4 linked regions of the Drosophila melanogaster genome follow. The protein of the gene in region 4 interacts with the protein of the main gene of each other region in a pairwise test. Each region holds a gene or a part of one and is shown on either strand. Other genes may lie near its edges. The genes, in order: CG2641, alphaTry, Acph-1 and Ir60a.

Region 1 (4,958 bases), on a different chromosome or scaffold from region 4:
TGAGGATTCCGGCAACGGCGCCCACCTGCGAGCACCTAAGCAAGGTGGTGCGCGTATCTTACGAAGTGCGTGTGGTGGCTGTTATGAACTGGCTTATGGCTAATCCCCGGCTCATAATCCCTGTGACTATTGGCAACGTGCCCCTGGCAACTGCGGTGTCCGGACCGGACTTCCTGCCAACTAACGCCTTCCCATCTGGAAGTTCGCTGCCTGCCGACTTGCCATGCACCTCTACAAGGGCCATGGAACTGGCTCAGATGGCCGCAAGCGGGGTCAGCAACTCCGGCTACGAGATGGCCGAGGATCTAGAGGACTTCGAGCTTCCAGAGGATGGAGATGATGAGTTGGAGGCCGCCGACGATTTCGTACCAGATTTACGTGAGTACAAGAGAACAAAATATTTCTAGCTAGGACTTTGTTATGAAAGATGTTAAATAGAGCCCTTATGTATATGTTCTTTATATTTTTGTTATGCTATTGTGAGGCGATAGTTTCATTCTTCATTCTCCATATTTTTTATGTCATTTTTTCTATAGCTCCTCCTACCTACGAGCAGGCCATGTTCATGACCACTGATATTGCGGACACGGACGCGAACACGGTCAGCGAGGCCTCCCGATTTACTCCACGCTATCCGGTCTTCGATGTGGACACCTTCCAGAGCCCGCCGCCAAATCCTCCCCAGAAGAAAAGGCGCCGCCGACGCAGACGTCCTGCCGATCCTGGACAGTCGAAGCAACAACCGGAGAAACAACCAGTGGAGTCACCCGTGCAGATCTGAGGGCAGTTATCGCGAAAAATCACGACTATATCTTATCTCGGCAGTATTTATTTCTTTTACGGTTCGCCAGTGTACTTACCAAAATGTTTACTATATATGTATGTATATCGGAATGATAAACAACCCAGAATATAAAAGTGTCTACTGGGTGATACGCGATAAATTGCGACTATAGCCTAGACAACCAAGTCCATGAAGGCATTGAACTACAAATTTATTTATTCATTTATAAATTAAATTGAGTGGAGGACTTCTAGCTCAGTCCGTGAGTTTAAATACTTATGAGAGCTAGAAATTTTGATTTACGCATACATGCTCCCAATTTCTAATTCTATTGCTTGACAATTTCCATTAAAATGCAAAAAAAAAATGTATAACTTCCTCTCTATCTGAGTAACAGGTATCTGATCCGGCCCATTCCGAATTATATAGAATATATAGCATAGAAACGGACATGCATTTATCGCCTTAATACTGATCAAACATTCTCTCGACTGTCAAGATACCCTTTGGTTGCTACGCACCACGATAGAAAATCAGGAACTTCTTGGACTTTTGCGCGTTTGTAAATGAGTACAAATCATCATTAACAAACGTAATCAACTATCACAGACTTAAGTCCATAGACGACTTAACTTGATGTGATTCTTTTTCACCGTATTTCGTCCAAAAAATAATAACAACGCGATAATAACAACTCAACTAAACTAGAGCTTTCACAGAACCCACCTGATTTTTGTTTACAAATTTTTAGATTTGTTGTTGCCTTATTCTTCGTAACAAAACAAACAAAAAAGAGAACCGTTTATCAAAATCCGATGCCTCTCAATTTTGTTTTTTTTTTTTAGTGAGCGGAAGCCCCAAAAGCTCGCTCACCAGAAAAGCTTTGGCTCTCGCCAAGTGATGATGTCACTGACATCCCAGCTGTTGCAGACCGGCTATTCTCATTCTAAATTCTCACTTCGGGTGCGACGCTTGTCTGGTGCTAAATAAATTCACGTTGCGCGTCGCCAGTGAATAAGATCTGGAATTTCGAAATATATGTGCCAGCACCCACATACTAAATAATAGATTGCATTTCCAAAATGCCTTCCAGCTGCTCTTTTGAGCTCGATCGCCGCGAACCCATTTACTACAGTGGTGAGACGGTCAATGGAAGGGCCATTCTGACAACAACATCCGAAAAGTCTGTGAACGGTGAGTTTTAGTCGTTAAAAAGCGAATGGACTGATATGTTTTTAATTTGAGCGTAATCACTGTTGACTCTGTGATAACACCAAGCCGGTTTTATAGAATGCAGCAAACAAACAAGTTTGTTGTAGCGCCATAAAGTGTTTTGCTTCTTATATAAGAAGGATTTTAGCGACCATTTATGTGGCTTTAATTGTCTCAAATGTTTAATTCCTAGTATCCTAAATTGCATGCCCTGATGAGCTCAGTTCGCCCCTAACTACAAATTCATTGATCAATTTTTGCGTTTTTCAAATAGCCAATTCTAAAAACAAACTTGAAAGCTTTACAAAAGATAACAAAAGTATGTATACAAGCAAACAAGTATTTGATACAGTGCTCTGTATCAATTTCCATGTTCAGTTCCATTTTTGATTGGCGTAATCTCATTCTGCACTTACAGCAACTCCTTCGGAGTCCGAAGAAGGCTTTCACATACGTTCAACATATAAAGATTCGTTTTCGGATACAAACCATATTCAAATATCACTCTCTCTCTTTTCACTTTCTGATTAGAGGTATACATTCTTTTCGAGGGCGAGGCAAAGGTGCGATGGGATGAGCGGCGAACAAGGACGAGAGGTGGAAAGACCGAGCACTACACGGAGTATTTCCGAGGCAAGCAGCAGTACTTGTACACCCGGACATCGGTCTTTGGATCCGGGAATCTGCCGCCAGGTACGCACACCTACAACTTCTGCATTCCACTGCCCCTGGAATGCCCCTCATCAGTGGTGGCCCAGTACGGAAAAATCTTCTACGAGGTCTCCGTGGTCATCGATCGCCAGTGGCGCTTCAACAACGTCTTCAAGCAGCCACTGACGGTCATACAGACCTACAACCTCAACATGAGCCCCCAATTGCTGGTGAGTCCAAGGACAGGAACAGTTTACTAAAAGTTTAGATTGCACTAATCGGTAGTAAATCAATGCAGTTTTAAATTGTCCTGCGACAGATATTTAAGGACAATTAGACGAGTCATTCAAGTATAGAAACATTGCGTGCCTTATGGACGTAAATTCCGAAGTTATTAAACAAACAAGGGGTGTGTTCATTCAAACCAAAGCTATGGGACTAAATAAAAAATTTAAATAAATTAAAAATAAATTTTTTACGATCCTAACCTGTAGAAATGTAAACAAAAAAATGTTAATTAAACTTTAAAATTATATCAATAAGAGTAATTAGGTAATATTAGTTATTCCTAGGAACTAATAAATGCACACTCTTTTTCGACAGATGCCCCTAGTCCGAGAGGACATCAAGCACTTTTGCTGTTGGCCCTGCAGTTCAGGCCCGGTTCTATCGACATTAACAATACCCTTCGGTGGTTACGCGCCTGGTCAGAAGATACGCTTTACTCTGGAGATTGACAACCAGTCGAGTGGCTATGATCTGAATGGGATCGAACTGAAACTTAAGCAGATTTACAAATTCCAGGCTCAAACGCCGCACCACAAAACTCGCGAAAAGGAGCACAGCCTCAACAAAAGTTGCCAGCAGGAGCGCGTTTTGAGGCTCTCAAAGAAAAAAATTGAAGGAACCCTGGCTATTCCAGCAGTACCGCCCTCTTCCCGCACCGAAGGCATCATTTCGGTTAGTTACCAAGTTATCCTCACGATCAGCACTGGCGACTGCCACGTGGACTCGGACTTTGAGGTGCCGATTGTAATTGGCACCATACCATTGATCCAAAGTGCCGAGAATCCAGCCAGTGCAGCACAGTGGATACCGGAAACGCCGGACACTCCTGCCGGAGCCGCCGCAGATCTGCCTCCCAGTTATGACAAGTGCAGTAAGTATATAGCGAAATCATAGATACTCTTCATTTGAATTTGTAAATGCTTAAAGGTGCTTGATCATTGTATAATTCTTATACTATTCATGTTTTTAGAGCCACCAACCTTCGAGGAGGCCACAAACTTTGGTGAAAGGTTCATCGACATCGATCAGGATGAGCACAATCGCACGGATGACTTTATTCCGCGTTACCCCATGTACACCAACTTTGCCATGCCATCGGCTCCACCTCAACCCCCTGAAGAGTTCGCTACCAATCAACCAGTACCCGTTCTGTCACTACCTCATGATCCCACTGCCCCATTGGTCGGTCAAAACAATACTGACCGTCCAACACAATCGTACGGTTGGAACACTAACTCATAAAAAAAAGAAGACATAATCTCATAAAATGATTTTACTTTGATTTAGCTTTGGATGTTACCAATAAACATAGTTTAACCGTTTATCGTGAAACTAAATCTTAGGAATATATATAAGTTATCCAACCAAATTTTCTAGTTTAGAAAGTCATCAATGAACAAAATTTCCTTGAAAATATATTTTAAATTCGAAATTCTTAGCGTAACACTCGCACTTATGTGACGAATTATCCAACTCTATCTGTAGGTTCAACTACAATATATTTGTTGGGCAATGGGCAATAAATCAGATTCTATGCAAATCCTTTCTAATTAAGTCAACAATATCGAATCACATCGCTAATATTCTCGATTCCACATAGAACACACTTATCAATACTTATCACTTACTTATCAATACCCACACATCAATATTTCTTTTATTAAATATAAACAAAATTTCAAAATTGGTACTTGAAAGTGAATGCGTTAAAAGATCGTTCTAGGTATATGATATTGATTCTTAAAATAAATCATTCCCTTGATTTAAAATTGCCACCAGTAAAAGTATCAGTTACCACTTGTGATAATGGAATAATATATATTTGTGTAATTTTGCTAGTGAATGAAATAAATTAGTAAAATAAAATAGTGGCGTGCATTTAATGAGACTTCACTTCCTCCGATTGAGTCTGGTCCATTTCGTAGTAGACATAGCGTGGTCTAAAATCCAACTGTTCGCCGGACAAGTAATGTTTGTTGGTCTTATTCAGATTGGTGGCTACCATGAACTCGGCTTCCCGGAA
Region 2 (3,458 bases), about 13 Mb from region 4:
TCATTACCATCTAAAAATGTGAACCCTGTGTCCTGATTTTTAACTAAGACCATCTTTTAAAATAAACTGACGACCGTCATAAACTGTTCATATATGATTTATTTCGAAAAATAATTAGGCGTTGTTGATCACCCAGGAGCGGAGGGCAGCAACATCGGCATAGACACCGGGGTAGTTAGCGGCAGCACATCCGTATCCCCAGGAGACAACACCGACGAGGACTCCGCCGGAGACCAGTGGGCCACCGGAGTCACCCTGGCACGAGTCCTTGCCGCTGGCAAAAGCGCAGATCATGGAGCTCTTGATCTGGTTTCCGTAGCCATAGGAGGAAGAAGAGCACCGGCTCTGGCTGACGATGTTCACGTTGACATAACGCAGCTGGGAGGGAATGGAGCTGGAGCCAGAGGACTCGGTACCCCATCCGGAGACGGAGGCAGCAGCACCGTTGGCGGGGTTGGAGCTAGCCAGACCGATGGCCTTGATGGTGGAGCTGAAGCTCAGAGAGGAGCTCAGATGGAGCACAGCGATGTCGTTGACCATGGTGTTGGCGTTGTAACCCTCGTGGTTCTTGAAAGAGGAAACCTTGGCGACGACGCCACCAGAGCTCCAGTAGCTGGATCCGGCGCGGATCTGCAGGGAGGAGGCGGACACGGACTGCAGGCAGTGAGCGGCGGTCACGATCACCCTGGCGGAGTAGATGGATCCACCGCAGGAGTGGCTGCCACTGCGCTGCAGGGAGATCTGCCAGGGGAAGCTGCTGATGGTGGTAGCAGTACCGCCGACAATGCGGCCATCCAACTGGGGCAGGAGACCCTCGGGGATGGTGCCTCCCAGGGCGCAGGCTACAGCCGACAACAGGATCAGGAACTTCAGCATGGTGCGATTGAATGGATACTCTTCGAACCGAAAAGTGTGCTTATATCGGGGGTCACTATCTCGGGAGGCGTTTAATCAATGGACAAGTGAGATTCCTCGTGGTTAAAGTGGATAACGATGTGGAGTGGTCGTCGTGTGATAAGCTGATTATTTCTAAATATCACCGCCTATATCGATGGTGAAAATGACGCAACAATTATGCTGAAGTTGCAGCTGTCAATCAAGTGGAGATATTTGCCGCGGGGACTGTATAAAAGGGGTTTTGATCCGCGAATCAGCATACAAACGATTAAAATGTTGAAATTCGCGGTACTTCTTTCCGTTTTGGCCTGCGCCTTGGCTGGCACCATTCCCGATGGCCTGCTGCCCCAGTTGGATGGTCGTATCGTCGGTGGTTATGAGACCAGCATCGACGCCCATCCCTACCAGGTGTCCTTGCAGCGCTATGGATCACACTTCTGCGGTGGATCCATCTACTCCCACGACATTGTGATCACCGCCGCTCACTGCCTGCAGTCGATTGAGGCCAAGGACCTGAAGATTCGTGTGGGCAGCACCTACTGGCGCTCCGGCGGCAGTGTCCACTCCGTTCGCTCCTTCCGCAACCACGAGGGCTACAACTCCCGCACCATGGTCAACGACATTGCTATTATTCGCATCGAGTCCGATCTGAGCTTCCGCTCCAGCATTCGCGAGATCCGTATTGCCGACTCCAACCCTCGTGAGGGCGCCACCGCCGTGGTTTCCGGCTGGGGCACCACCGAGTCCGGTGGCAGCACCATTCCCGATCATCTGCTGGCCGTTGATCTGGAGATCATCGATGTGTCGCGTTGCCGCTCGGATGAGTTCGGATACGGAAAGAAGATCAAGGACACCATGCTCTGCGCCTACGCCCCACACAAGGATGCCTGCCAGGGTGACTCCGGTGGCCCACTTGTCTCCGGAGACCGCCTTGTCGGTGTTGTGTCCTGGGGCTATGGATGCGGTGATGTGAGGTATCCCGGTGTCTACGCCGACGTTGCCCACTTCCACGAGTGGATCGAGAGGACCGCCGAGGAGGTGTAAAGCCAGACAAACACTTGAAATAAATCGCAATTGAATCAGCATTGATATCTGTTTCTCTATTTGGGCCCAATTGCGTCGCAGGTGTAAAGCCCTCGAAATTGCGGCTAGATAAGAATTGTAGCGTGGGCTGTATATAAGGTTGGACGGGCGGCATGTAAGCCAGCACTTGTTAGCAACGCCCATCATGTTGAAGATCGTGATCCTCTTGTCCGCCGTGGTCTGCGCCCTGGGAGGCACCGTCCCTGAGGGACTCCTGCCTCAGTTGGATGGCCGCATTGTCGGCGGCTCTGCTACCACCATCAGCAGCTTCCCCTGGCAGATCTCCCTGCAGCGCAGTGGCAGCCACTCCTGCGGTGGATCCATCTACTCTGCCAACATCATTGTGACCGCCGCTCACTGTCTGCAGTCCGTGTCCGCTTCAGTCCTGCAGGTCCGTGCTGGATCCACCTACTGGAGCTCTGGTGGCGTCGTCGCCAAGGTTTCCTCTTTCAAGAACCACGAGGGATACAACGCTAACACCATGGTCAACGACATCGCTGTCATCCGTCTGAGCTCTTCCCTGAGCTTCAGCTCAAGCATCAAGGCTATTAGCCTGGCCACTTACAACCCAGCTAACGGAGCCTCTGCCGCCGTTTCCGGTTGGGGTACCCAGTCGTCCGGATCCAGCTCCATCCCCTCCCAGCTGCAGTACGTGAACGTGAACATCGTTAGCCAGAGCCAGTGTGCTTCCTCCACCTACGGATACGGTAGCCAGATCCGCAACACCATGATCTGCGCTGCTGCCAGCGGCAAGGATGCCTGCCAGGGTGACTCCGGTGGCCCACTGGTCTCCGGCGGAGTCCTCGTCGGTGTTGTCTCCTGGGGATACGGATGCGCTTACTCCAACTACCCCGGTGTCTATGCCGATGTTGCTGTCCTCCGCTCTTGGGTGGTGAGCACTGCTAACAGCATCTAAGCTGGTACCCAGTAGGTTGGATGTGTCAAAAGCCTTCAATAAATATTTGCCATTCAGAACATAGATGATTTGTATTTGGTCTGGGTACTTTAACATAAGAGGGTTTACAAAATATACAGAAAGCTTTTGTATTTACTTCTATGTAGTTTAAGTTAGTGGTTAAGCCTAAAGAATAAAGTAGTGGAAGTTGAATGTATTACACATACCACTTATTACACCTTTCGTATTAACAATAGGGAAACAGTTCTCGAGGTTGCCCGCGTCACAGGTCTTATCTTTTGTAGGGTTCACGGGTATTCACATAAAGTAAGATAATTCAACGCACCTTCTGTGATTTTCACCGATTTCAATGGGCTCGAGTGGCTAAAGGTAAACATTTGTCCAGGACCAATCTAATCAACTTCGAGTGCATCGCGTGGCTAGGGTTCCAATTCATCTTCCATTGATAAGTTGAGTGATGGTCTGGACAGCTGTGGCAAGATTAATTAGCCGGAAAAAAATGAATAGATAAGATTGCACAGATTTGGACACTCGAAGTTGAACGTTTTGGTGAACCGTGACT
Region 3 (4,458 bases), on a different chromosome or scaffold from region 4:
AGGGCCAGCCCATTGTGGTGGAGGCGGGCAGGCCAAAGTACGGCCCGGGAGGTGGCAGTCGAGGTCAGCCGGGCTCTGGGGACAATCCGGGGCGCAGGCCCTCGCAGGGTAAGCTTTGATCACTCCAAAGATCCAGCATCTAAGTATTTCATCATCCTCAGTTCAAGGTGGCGGGGCGGACAAGAGACCTCATGAATCCAATACCAACTTCAAGCGCAACTTTCGTGAGGAAGTCGGTGGCAGATTCTCCAACGAAGGCCCAAGGAGCTCGAACTCCTCGGCCGCCAAATTTGGTCCCGTGAGAAACGAGTCCAACTACAGACAACAGCGCAGTGCTCCATACTCGAAAGGACCACCGAACAATGAGTCTTCCAATCAGGGACAGGGCTTTAGGAACAAATTTGCAGGCGGAGGCAAGTTCGGTGGAAGCGCGGGCAACGAGGGACGCTTCGGCAGCAATCGGTTTCAGCAGCGGGACAACAGTGGACCACAGCCTGGCAGAAGAAACTTTAAGAACAGTCCAACCAGCGGATATAGGGGAGGAGGCAATAATAGTGACTTTCAGGGAGGCAGCTCCAGCAGCGGGGGAGGAGGATCCGTAAATCAGAGGGCCGGCGGCGGCGGCCCAGGTCCAAGCCATGTGCGACAGGATCGACGTGGATTTGCCCTGCCTGTAGAGCATCAGCAGCAGCAAATGGGCTTCGGACGCTTTGGCAATGGACCAATGAACTCTGGCAATCGTGGGACTAATGGGTAAGTTGTGCATAAGATTGGGTTCTAAATTATATATAATATCTTGTTTTGCCATATAGAGGAAATCCACCGGGAGGACGTGGATTTTTCAATGGAGGAGGAGGCGGATTCAATGACAGACGCGATAGCAGTCACGAGACAAGCAGTCCCCAAGGAGGCCCAAGCAAACGCGGAGGTTCAGGAGGTAGAAATCACAATCAGAATGGCATAAATGCATATCACTCGGAGTTCCCGCCCTTGGGCAGTGGCGGCGGAGGTCCAGGCCAAAGAAACCGGTAGGTTCATTCATATCGTCTGCATAAAAACCACTAACCCCAATCATCGCCATTTCCAGCTTCAACGGGCCCAGACCCGGGCCAAATATGGGCGGCAATAGAAGATTTTAAGCAAGTGCAATGCAGCAACGATGTTTGCCAGTCCACGTGTACTCCACTTAATAATGTAATAGCCGAATTTTGTTTTTCATTGTTCCGCGCGCAGAATCTTTTAGTTAAGCCAACGACGACGACTTTTAATTTGTCCTATAGCCGTGTACTTTTAAGACCAACATCAACAGTATATTTGTTATTCGTAGTCTAAGATTGTTTCGATATTTATGCAATACTTAAATAATCATATTTCTTGTGTGCAACTAGATACGACGAGTCAATCAATCAATACAATCATAAACACCATTTGCGTTTTTAAATCATCCCGCCAAAAGATTACTGTTAGGGTCTAGGGTTGGTTGGGGACAACTATCGTTATCGAGACTTCGAAGCTTTGTGTGGTTATCAAACAGGTCCCCAAAATTATAAACAAAGAAATCAGAAATTTGGTAAACTTCAGACTGCCTGCTGTATATATGCGAACGACGAACGAACAGATCGCCAGTTATACGGTCGAGGTAAGGGAACTAATACCCGTTATAGCCGTAGACCAAACGCCGTAACCTGTATTCGCATGCTCACATATGTTTTCCCGCAGTCGCTGTGGTTCACTTGTAACAAGTGTGGCTCGCAAAATGTGGAACCACCCAAGCCAGCGCTGGCTCATCTTGATCTGCGTTATATGTTTGCTGTCTTTTGCGCTGGCCAATTCGCTTCATGGCTATGCTAATGCTGAAGGTCATCCAGTGGAGATTTCGGCCACATTGCCAGGCCAGCTGAAGTTTGTGCATGTCGTAAGAGTTGCTATGTCTATGTGTGCGTAGCTCCCGCTTTATCGGTTATGCTTTGCAGATATATCGCCACGGCGACAGAACGCCCGTGGATCCCTATCCCACGGACCCCTGGGGCGACAGGAAGTTCTGGCCCACCGGCTGGGGAGATTTGACCAATGTAAGTAAGGCTCGCACTAGTGACGGACCCAGGCTAACACGGATTTCGACCTTTAGTTGGGCAAGCAAGAGCACTACGACCTGGGAAAATGGCTGCGGAATCGCTATTCAAACCTCCTACCGCCTATATACTCCAACGAGAACATCTACGTTCAGTCCACCGACGTGGATCGCACATTGATGAGTGCCCAGTCGAATCTGGCTGGTCTCTACGAGCCGCAAGGGGAAGACATCTGGAACACGGACATCAACTGGCAACCCATACCCATTCACACCTCGCCCGAGAGGGAGGATCCCATACTGGCCGCTAAGGCACCTTGTCCTGCCTATGACTATGAGCTGGCCAGCCTGGAATCATCGCCAGAATTCAAGGCCTTGACCGAAAAACACCGAAATCTGTTTGCTTATTTGAGCGAAAAAGGCGGACGCCCCGTGAAGACCTTCATTGATGCCCAGTATTTGAATAACACCTTGTTCATTGAGAATCTGTACAACATGACACTGCCAAAATGGACTAAAATGGTTTATGGGAGAGAGGAGCTCACGTATGTATCGAATTTCGCTTTCGCCATCAGCTCTTATACGCGAAAGCTGGCGAGACTGAAGGCGGGGCCTTTGCTAAAGGACATATTCCAGCGGTTTAAAGAGAAATCCTCCGGGAGCCTAAAACCAGATCGTTCGATGTGGGTCTACAGTGCTCATGACACCACGGTAGCCAGCGTTTTGAATGCGCTGAAATTATTTGAGGTAGGAGTTTGACAAAGTTTTCATATGAGCAGCGGATTGAGGCTTTGTTCTTTTTTTTTTTTATCCCCAGCTGCACAGTCCTCCCTACACGGCGTGCATAATGATGGAGTTGCGTGTGGATGAGACCAACACCCCGTTGGTCTCTATTTTCTACAAGAACACCACAGCTGAACCCCTGCCTCTGGACATACCTGGTTGTGGGCCTTCCTGTCCGCTGACCAAACTTATGAACATCTACGAGGACGTTTTGCCCGTAGATTGGGAGCGCGAGTGCAAGCTATCCACGATGATGATGACTTATGAGGAAGCCAATCTTGGAACTGCGACGGGTAAGTCAACGGCAATTGGTTTTCAATGGAATTAAATCATCGAGTTTCATCCATCCCCAGGCATTCTCATTTTAATCGTAATTGCGCTGCTGTTCGCCAGCTATGGCCTCATGATCTACTACCGACGTCGCAACTACAAGCTGTATTCCTCGTACTCTCAAATGGCTTAGGAGGCTTACCCATGCCATGCAGTTGAAGGCCCTACTTAAATCTGAATTAAGAGCCTTGCCCGCTCTCTAGTTGCCAAAGTGATTTGCCTTTCTTGGTGTTTTCTATATTGATTTTGGAAGTCATTGGAGTCTCAGGCGACAGTTGTTGTTATTCGTGGTTACTACTTAGTTAAGCCGTGCATTTCACACAAAGTCAGTTTGTATTGATTAGTTTTGTTAGTTTAAGTTTGTGCATTTGAAATTGAAAAACACAAGCTCGATAGCATTTAAATGGAGTAATAACTGGTTTTGTTGTTATTCAGTGAAAGATATGGAATACAAAGACTGTGAATAGCGATCTTGAAGTTGCATACATATTATACATAACATATTTATACACATATACATTTTTATGAAATTATCATGAATGATAAATTTATTGTATTAAAATCGCTCAAATCAAAGACTTGTATGATGTTTGAATTTTTCTGGTGCCTAGTAAAGATAAAGGGCTTGTTGTCCAAAGATATTTTTGGAGAAACTCTTAACAAAATCGGCAAAACTTTATGGTTTAGTCAATTTAAATCAAGATAAAGTAATGAATTGCTTTTCTGTGTACGTTTGATAAAGATCCCGGAAGAAACAACAACATAGAACGAATGTTTTTGGGCTAGGAAGTTAAAGAGCTTAAACAATTGTTGTTTACAAGGTACACTTTGTGGGTTAGTTGGTAGTCTATAGCTTGTGGCAGGCATACCTAAAAGACGGCTGAGTAAATAAGTTGGAGTTTTCCCGCCCGCCGTCAAAAACACTTGAAATATGAATTATACTAGATTTGTTTATTCCGCATAAGCGACTTGGTTGCACTTAATTATGGTTAGACATAGATACAGTTAGGGTTACGGTTAGAATGCTTTAAGGCTATATACAACGTGGCTGAGAGCGGCGATATAATGTAGAACCTGTTTGCGGCGATGCGCCTGACTGACTGACTAAGATTGAAATGGACAGAATGGAGGAGTGGGAAAGATGAAGAGCCCCTCGATCGGCCGGCTGGCTGGCCGGCTTATCTGTAGGCCTTGTCATCCGAGTATATGATGTAGGGCTGGTGCTGGTGCGGATGCTGGTGCGTCAGGCTCTCGGCTCCATCGCCGTTTCCGCC
Region 4 (4,893 bases):
CTGCGGCGCAACTGGGAGTCATGGGCTGCTGGTCCGTGTAGGCGGACACCGCCTGGCAGAAGTTGGTGAAGATCATCCGCGGCGTGTCCATGGAGAGTCTCTGAATCACCAGGCAATAGTGCATGACATGGAAATCAAACTTGCTGAAACGATTTTGAATAATCATAAGTTATAAGTATATCCGTGTAATAAAATCATCTAGATCTCACCTCCTTTCCCACTTGACGATCATCTCGCGCTTCCGCACGCGATTCTGGGTGCGAATGGCGATTCGGTGCGTGGCGTTGAGGAGGGGCCAGTCGTGCTGGGGATGCTCTGCCAGGGCGTCCACCTTGAGGGCTCCCGAGTGGCGGGCGAGGACGAAGAGGTCGTACTGGCCACGCAGGGCGCAGGGCAGCACCAGACTGCCCACAGCCACACCTGGCCCAGGTGCCACTGCCGCCGGCCGAAGGGGGTTTCCTGCAGAGGCGGTTGGGTGGCGGGTTAGTGGCGGTTGGTGGCGGTATGCGGCTCCTCAAAGGGGCGGACTTACCTGTCTGATTGTAGTACATCTTGCGGCCCACGGGCGCCGAAAAGCGAATCGTCAGCGGCGTCGAGTCGTTCAGGTTCAGCACAAATCTGGAAGACGGAGAACGAGATGAAGGCGGCTCTTCGAGGGGCGGAGTAAGTGAGCTGTTAACGCCCTTTGTCAAAAATGATGACACTAAATTATCACACGCAATTTGTTTTGCCGCCTGTCTGAGCCGAACTGAACCAAATGAGTCAGCGGCTTTTGGCCATACCCTCCCTGACTAAAGGATCAGCTTGGTTAGATAAGTCGTAACTTATAACTTATAACTTAACTTAACAATAACTAACTAACTAACTAATGAAATAACAATGGTGTCAAAAAGAATCTCATTTTGTATCTCTCACTGCATACTTTTAAATCACCTTTGGTATACAAGTTGGCTTAATTACGGGGCATCCGAAAGGGTATACCCTCTTCGGCTATCCTTGTCCTTTCGCCAACTTTGTTTATCCATCTTCGCTGATGCCGCTGCAACTTTGTTGCAGCCAAAGATTGCGCTCAAGTCCCCTGGGCACTGGCCCTTTGCTGAATTTGCTGGCTCTTGTATTGTAATTAAATGCGAAATTTACGAGCAATTTTTCTAATGACAAACTGCTAAGACAAATGAGCTCGCCGATACACCCACATGGACACAGGGAAACAGGGAGCTTCGAGCTGGCAAGGATGCAGTTTCCAAAGGGGCAGGACAGGATGGCCATTCCATTGCAGCAAATGACTCATTGACTTGGCGAGATGGTCGGCCATCTCGAGTTTTATTTTTATGACCGGCTACTTCCGGCCAACGCCATGGGCCATCCTCCTCGTCATCATCCCCCGCAATCCGGACGAGCGAACAGAAGTTGGTGCGCCACATAGCCATATAGCCATTATACCATGCAGTCCGTCGTATTTTTGGCCGCCCTGCCAAAAGGTTCGGATTGATGGAGTGTTTTAATGCATTTCGACCATTGTTGGCGGTGGCGCCGCTGCGACTGAGCAAATATTTGCTTTAATTTAAGCCTTGCATGTTGCAATGGCGATTGTTTGTTGTTTTCTGCTGTTGTTATTATTGTTGCTGGGGGCATCCTCGTTGTCGGCACGCTGACAGCAGTCAATTATACAAGGCAAACAACGGCCAAAGGCGAAAGTTGAATGCGCTTCCGGACGCGAAACTCCAGAATGACTTAATGCACTTTTACAAGCCAGCAGTGGTTGTTTAATGGACGGATTATCATATTACAGCGATTTGCGATGGATCAGTCAGAGGCACTGTGTAGTGTTAATACTGTTCCAGACCCCAAACCGATATACCCAAGCAATCAAATGTAGGACATCAGTCACATCACCTTCCCACGGAAACTCACACCAGCCGCAGTTAATTCGCAATTGTCCGACGTGACAGAAGCAATAATGTGGTGTAATAATCCGGGTCTCATCATCATCATCTTTCTGGGGCAGATTTTAAACCTGTGCCAGGGGATAGTGAATCTTTCGAATGAGACGGCCAACACGGTCATCTTCATGCTGCCCGAAAAGGACTTGGGTCCCGATGTGTGGAAGGCTGGAGTGGGCTGCCTCGATAGCTTCGCCCAAATCTTCTTCTTTCGCAACCCGAAGGAGCGCTTCACCAGAGCCTATAACTTGATGCTGGTGCACGCCTTTCATCTGTCCAGTCCGGCGGATCAGATCCAGGAAGGATTCAGCAAACTGATCAACGAAGCAGTCACGAATCCAGGGCCGCCGGACAGGGAGGAACTCTTCCAAATGCGCGTGGCCAGTGATTACAACATCACGAATGGGACCGAAGACAAGGGAGAGCTGATCCTAGCGGACAATTATGTGATAGTGGTGGACTCGGTGGATCGATTAAAAGAGCTAATGAAGAAAAAAATTGTCGAAATGCGATCCTGGAATCCAGGAGCGCGTTTTCTGGTGCTCTTTCATAATGCGACTTGTCGGAATCGACCGCTTGGCGTAGCCTCCAATATTTTCAAGGACCTCATGGAAATGTTTTACGTGCACCGAGTTGCTCTTCTCTATGCCAACTCCACCATGAACTACAATCTGCTGGTCAATGATTACTACAGCAATGTAAACTGCAGGATTCTGAATGTCCAGAGCGTGGGCCAGTGCCACGATGGCAAACTTTACCCCAATAATGCTGTCGTTAAGGCCTCCATGCAGGACTACGTATCAGGATTCAGTCCCAGGAACTGCACCTTTTTTGCCTGTTCCTCCATCTCTGCTCCCTTTGTGGAGGCCGACTGTATCCTGGGACTAGAGATGAGGATCCTGGGGTTCATGAAAAATCGACTGAAATTCGATGTGAGTATTTAACACTTTCATACTTCAAGATCGTCTTGGCTTGCAAAAGTCCTGCTTATTGTGCTAAGCTAACAACTATCCTATTTTCCACTGGTAAGGTAAACCAAACCTGCAGCCTGGAGTCACGTGGTGAAATGGATGGCCCAGCTAACTGGACTGGATTACTGGGGAAAGTCCAGAACAACGAGTGCGACTTTGTCTTCGGCGGCTATTATCCGGACAACGAGGTGGCGGACCATTTTTGGGGATCCGATACCTATCTGCAGGATGCGCACACGTGGTACATAAAAATGGCCGACAGAAGACCCGCCTGGCAGGCGTTGGTGGGTATTTTCGAAGCCTACACCTGGATTGGATTCATCCTGATTCTAATAATCAGCTGGCTGTTCTGGTTCACCCTGGTTATGATTCTTCCGGAGCCGAAGTATTACCAACAGTTGAGTCTTACGGCCATTAATGCCCTGGCCGTCACCATATCGATAGCCGTCCAGGAACGACCCATTTGCGAGACGACGAGGCTGTTCTTCATGGCCCTGACTTTGTATGGCCTGAACGTGGTGGCTACATACACGTCCAAGATGATAGCCACCTTCCAGGATCCCGGCTACCTTCACCAGCTGGACGAGCTGACGGAAGTGGTGGCCGCGGGTATTCCGTTTGGCGGCCACGAGGAGAGTCGCGACTGGTTCGAGAATGACGACGACATGTGGATCTTTAACGGATACAACATTTCGCCGGAGTTCATTCCGCAATCGAAGAACCTGGAGGCGGTGAAGTGGGGCCAGCGGTGCATCCTGAGCAACCGGATGTACACGATGCAGAGTCCCCTGGCGGACGTCATATACGCCTTTCCCAACAACGTTTTCAGCAGTCCGGTGCAGATGATCATGAAGGCGGGATTCCCCTTTCTCTTCGAGATGAACAGCATCATCCGCCTCATGCGCGACGTGGGCATTTTTCAGAAGATCGACGCGGACTTTAGGTACAACAACACGTACCTCAACAGGATCAACAAGATGCGCCCCCAGTTCCCGGAAACGGCTATCGTCCTGACCACGGAGCACCTGAAGGGACCCTTCTTCATCCTGGTGGTGGGCAGCTGCTGGGCCGCCCTCACGTTCATTGGCGAGCTAATAATCCACAGATGGCGAACCCAGCTGGTCAGCACGAGCGAGCAGCAGGACAGGAGGAGTGACAAGAGGAGGAGGAGGAGGAGGAGGAGGAAGCCAGAAAAGGATAACCGCTGGCAGCGACAAGTTCAAGTGGCTCCAGTCGTTCGATTTACGCCAGTCAAACGACGCAAAGTTTTCCAGGGACAAACAAGTCAAAAGTAAACTAACCCAAACTAACTCCCTAGATGGCTGCGATAAAATTGACTCAATTCACATAAATTTGCAATTGAGAGACACTGACTCTGACTCTGACTGGCAATCCCCAAGCCCGTCCCCCCGTCCTTCATCCCCCATCCTCCATCCTCCTGCGATGTCTGGGGCGCTTGTCTGGTCTATAGTCTATATAGTATGGCATAGTGTAGTATAGTATAGTGTGGTTGGTCTGGCCCGTGCCGTTCGGGTCGCTTCTGTTACTTTTCACGCGAAATACTTAAAATCAGAGACAAAATTCTATTTTTGCAAACAACAACGGCGGGGAGTCTGTGCCCGTGCCTCTGGGATTGGCATTGGGATTGGGATCGGGAATGGAAGTGGAGGCGGGCAGGGCAGTGCGCAGTGGACGAGCTCCTCGCCCCGCTTTCCGCAAATTGACAATCAGCCTCAGCTTTCCCAGCTGCTCTGCTGCCGGAAAACTCTGGGCGTAAACAGAGATAAAGAACGAGTTAAGCAGATATCCCTATAAGTGGCGCATTCGCTGATTGCAAAGGAAGTTACTGCAGGGCAGCCAAACAAATATCGCTCGGATATCAGATGGCGCAAGTTTCAGTTGGAAAATATCCCAAATGGAATTGGAAGTAGCGCCACGGAGCAGGGACAACTTTTGCGGAATTATGTGAGTTACGGGAA

Evidence for each region.
Region 1: the proteins of Ir60a (region 4) and CG2641 interact in a two-hybrid assay, tested with the Drosophila melanogaster proteins (one large-scale study listed by BioGRID).
Region 2: the proteins of Ir60a (region 4) and alphaTry interact in a two-hybrid assay, tested with the Drosophila melanogaster proteins (one large-scale study listed by BioGRID).
Region 3: the proteins of Ir60a (region 4) and Acph-1 interact in a two-hybrid assay, tested with the Drosophila melanogaster proteins (one large-scale study listed by BioGRID).

What each region holds. Positions count from the first base shown.
Region 1 is NT_033777.3:7,792,343-7,797,300, forward strand, and holds CG2641 (uncharacterized protein), read left to right. Parts: upstream 1-1,726; 5' UTR 1,727-1,866; coding exon 1,867-1,978; intron 1,979-2,527; coding exon 2,528-2,877; intron 2,878-3,250; coding exon 3,251-3,806; intron 3,807-3,905; coding exon 3,906-4,177; 3' UTR 4,178-4,257; downstream 4,258-4,958. Other genes in the region: CG10086 (uncharacterized protein), read left to right, coding at 1-378, 537-781; CG18744 (uncharacterized protein), read right to left, coding at 4,815-4,958.
Region 2 is NT_033778.4:11,343,760-11,347,217, reverse strand, and holds alphaTry (alphaTrypsin), read left to right. Parts: upstream 1-2,098; 5' UTR 2,099-2,125; coding exon 2,126-2,896; 3' UTR 2,897-2,958; downstream 2,959-3,458. Other genes in the region: betaTry (betaTrypsin), read right to left, coding at 115-876; epsilonTry (epsilonTrypsin), read left to right, coding at 1,171-1,941.
Region 3 is NT_033777.3:29,990,443-29,994,900, reverse strand, and holds Acph-1 (acid phosphatase 1), read left to right. Parts: upstream 1-1,624; 5' UTR 1,625-1,705; coding exon 1,706-1,915; intron 1,916-1,973; coding exon 1,974-2,072; intron 2,073-2,128; coding exon 2,129-2,818; intron 2,819-2,888; coding exon 2,889-3,147; intron 3,148-3,207; coding exon 3,208-3,317; 3' UTR 3,318-3,757; downstream 3,758-4,458. Other genes in the region: CG7903 (uncharacterized protein), read left to right, coding at 1-108, 162-753, 813-1,028, 1,088-1,139; CG7896 (uncharacterized protein), read right to left, coding at 4,363-4,458.
Region 4 is NT_033778.4:24,248,371-24,253,263, reverse strand, and holds Ir60a (ionotropic receptor 60a), read left to right. Parts: upstream 1-1,960; coding exon 1,961-2,875; intron 2,876-2,973; coding exon 2,974-4,209; downstream 4,210-4,893. Other genes in the region: nord, read right to left, coding at 1-143, 210-459, 533-618.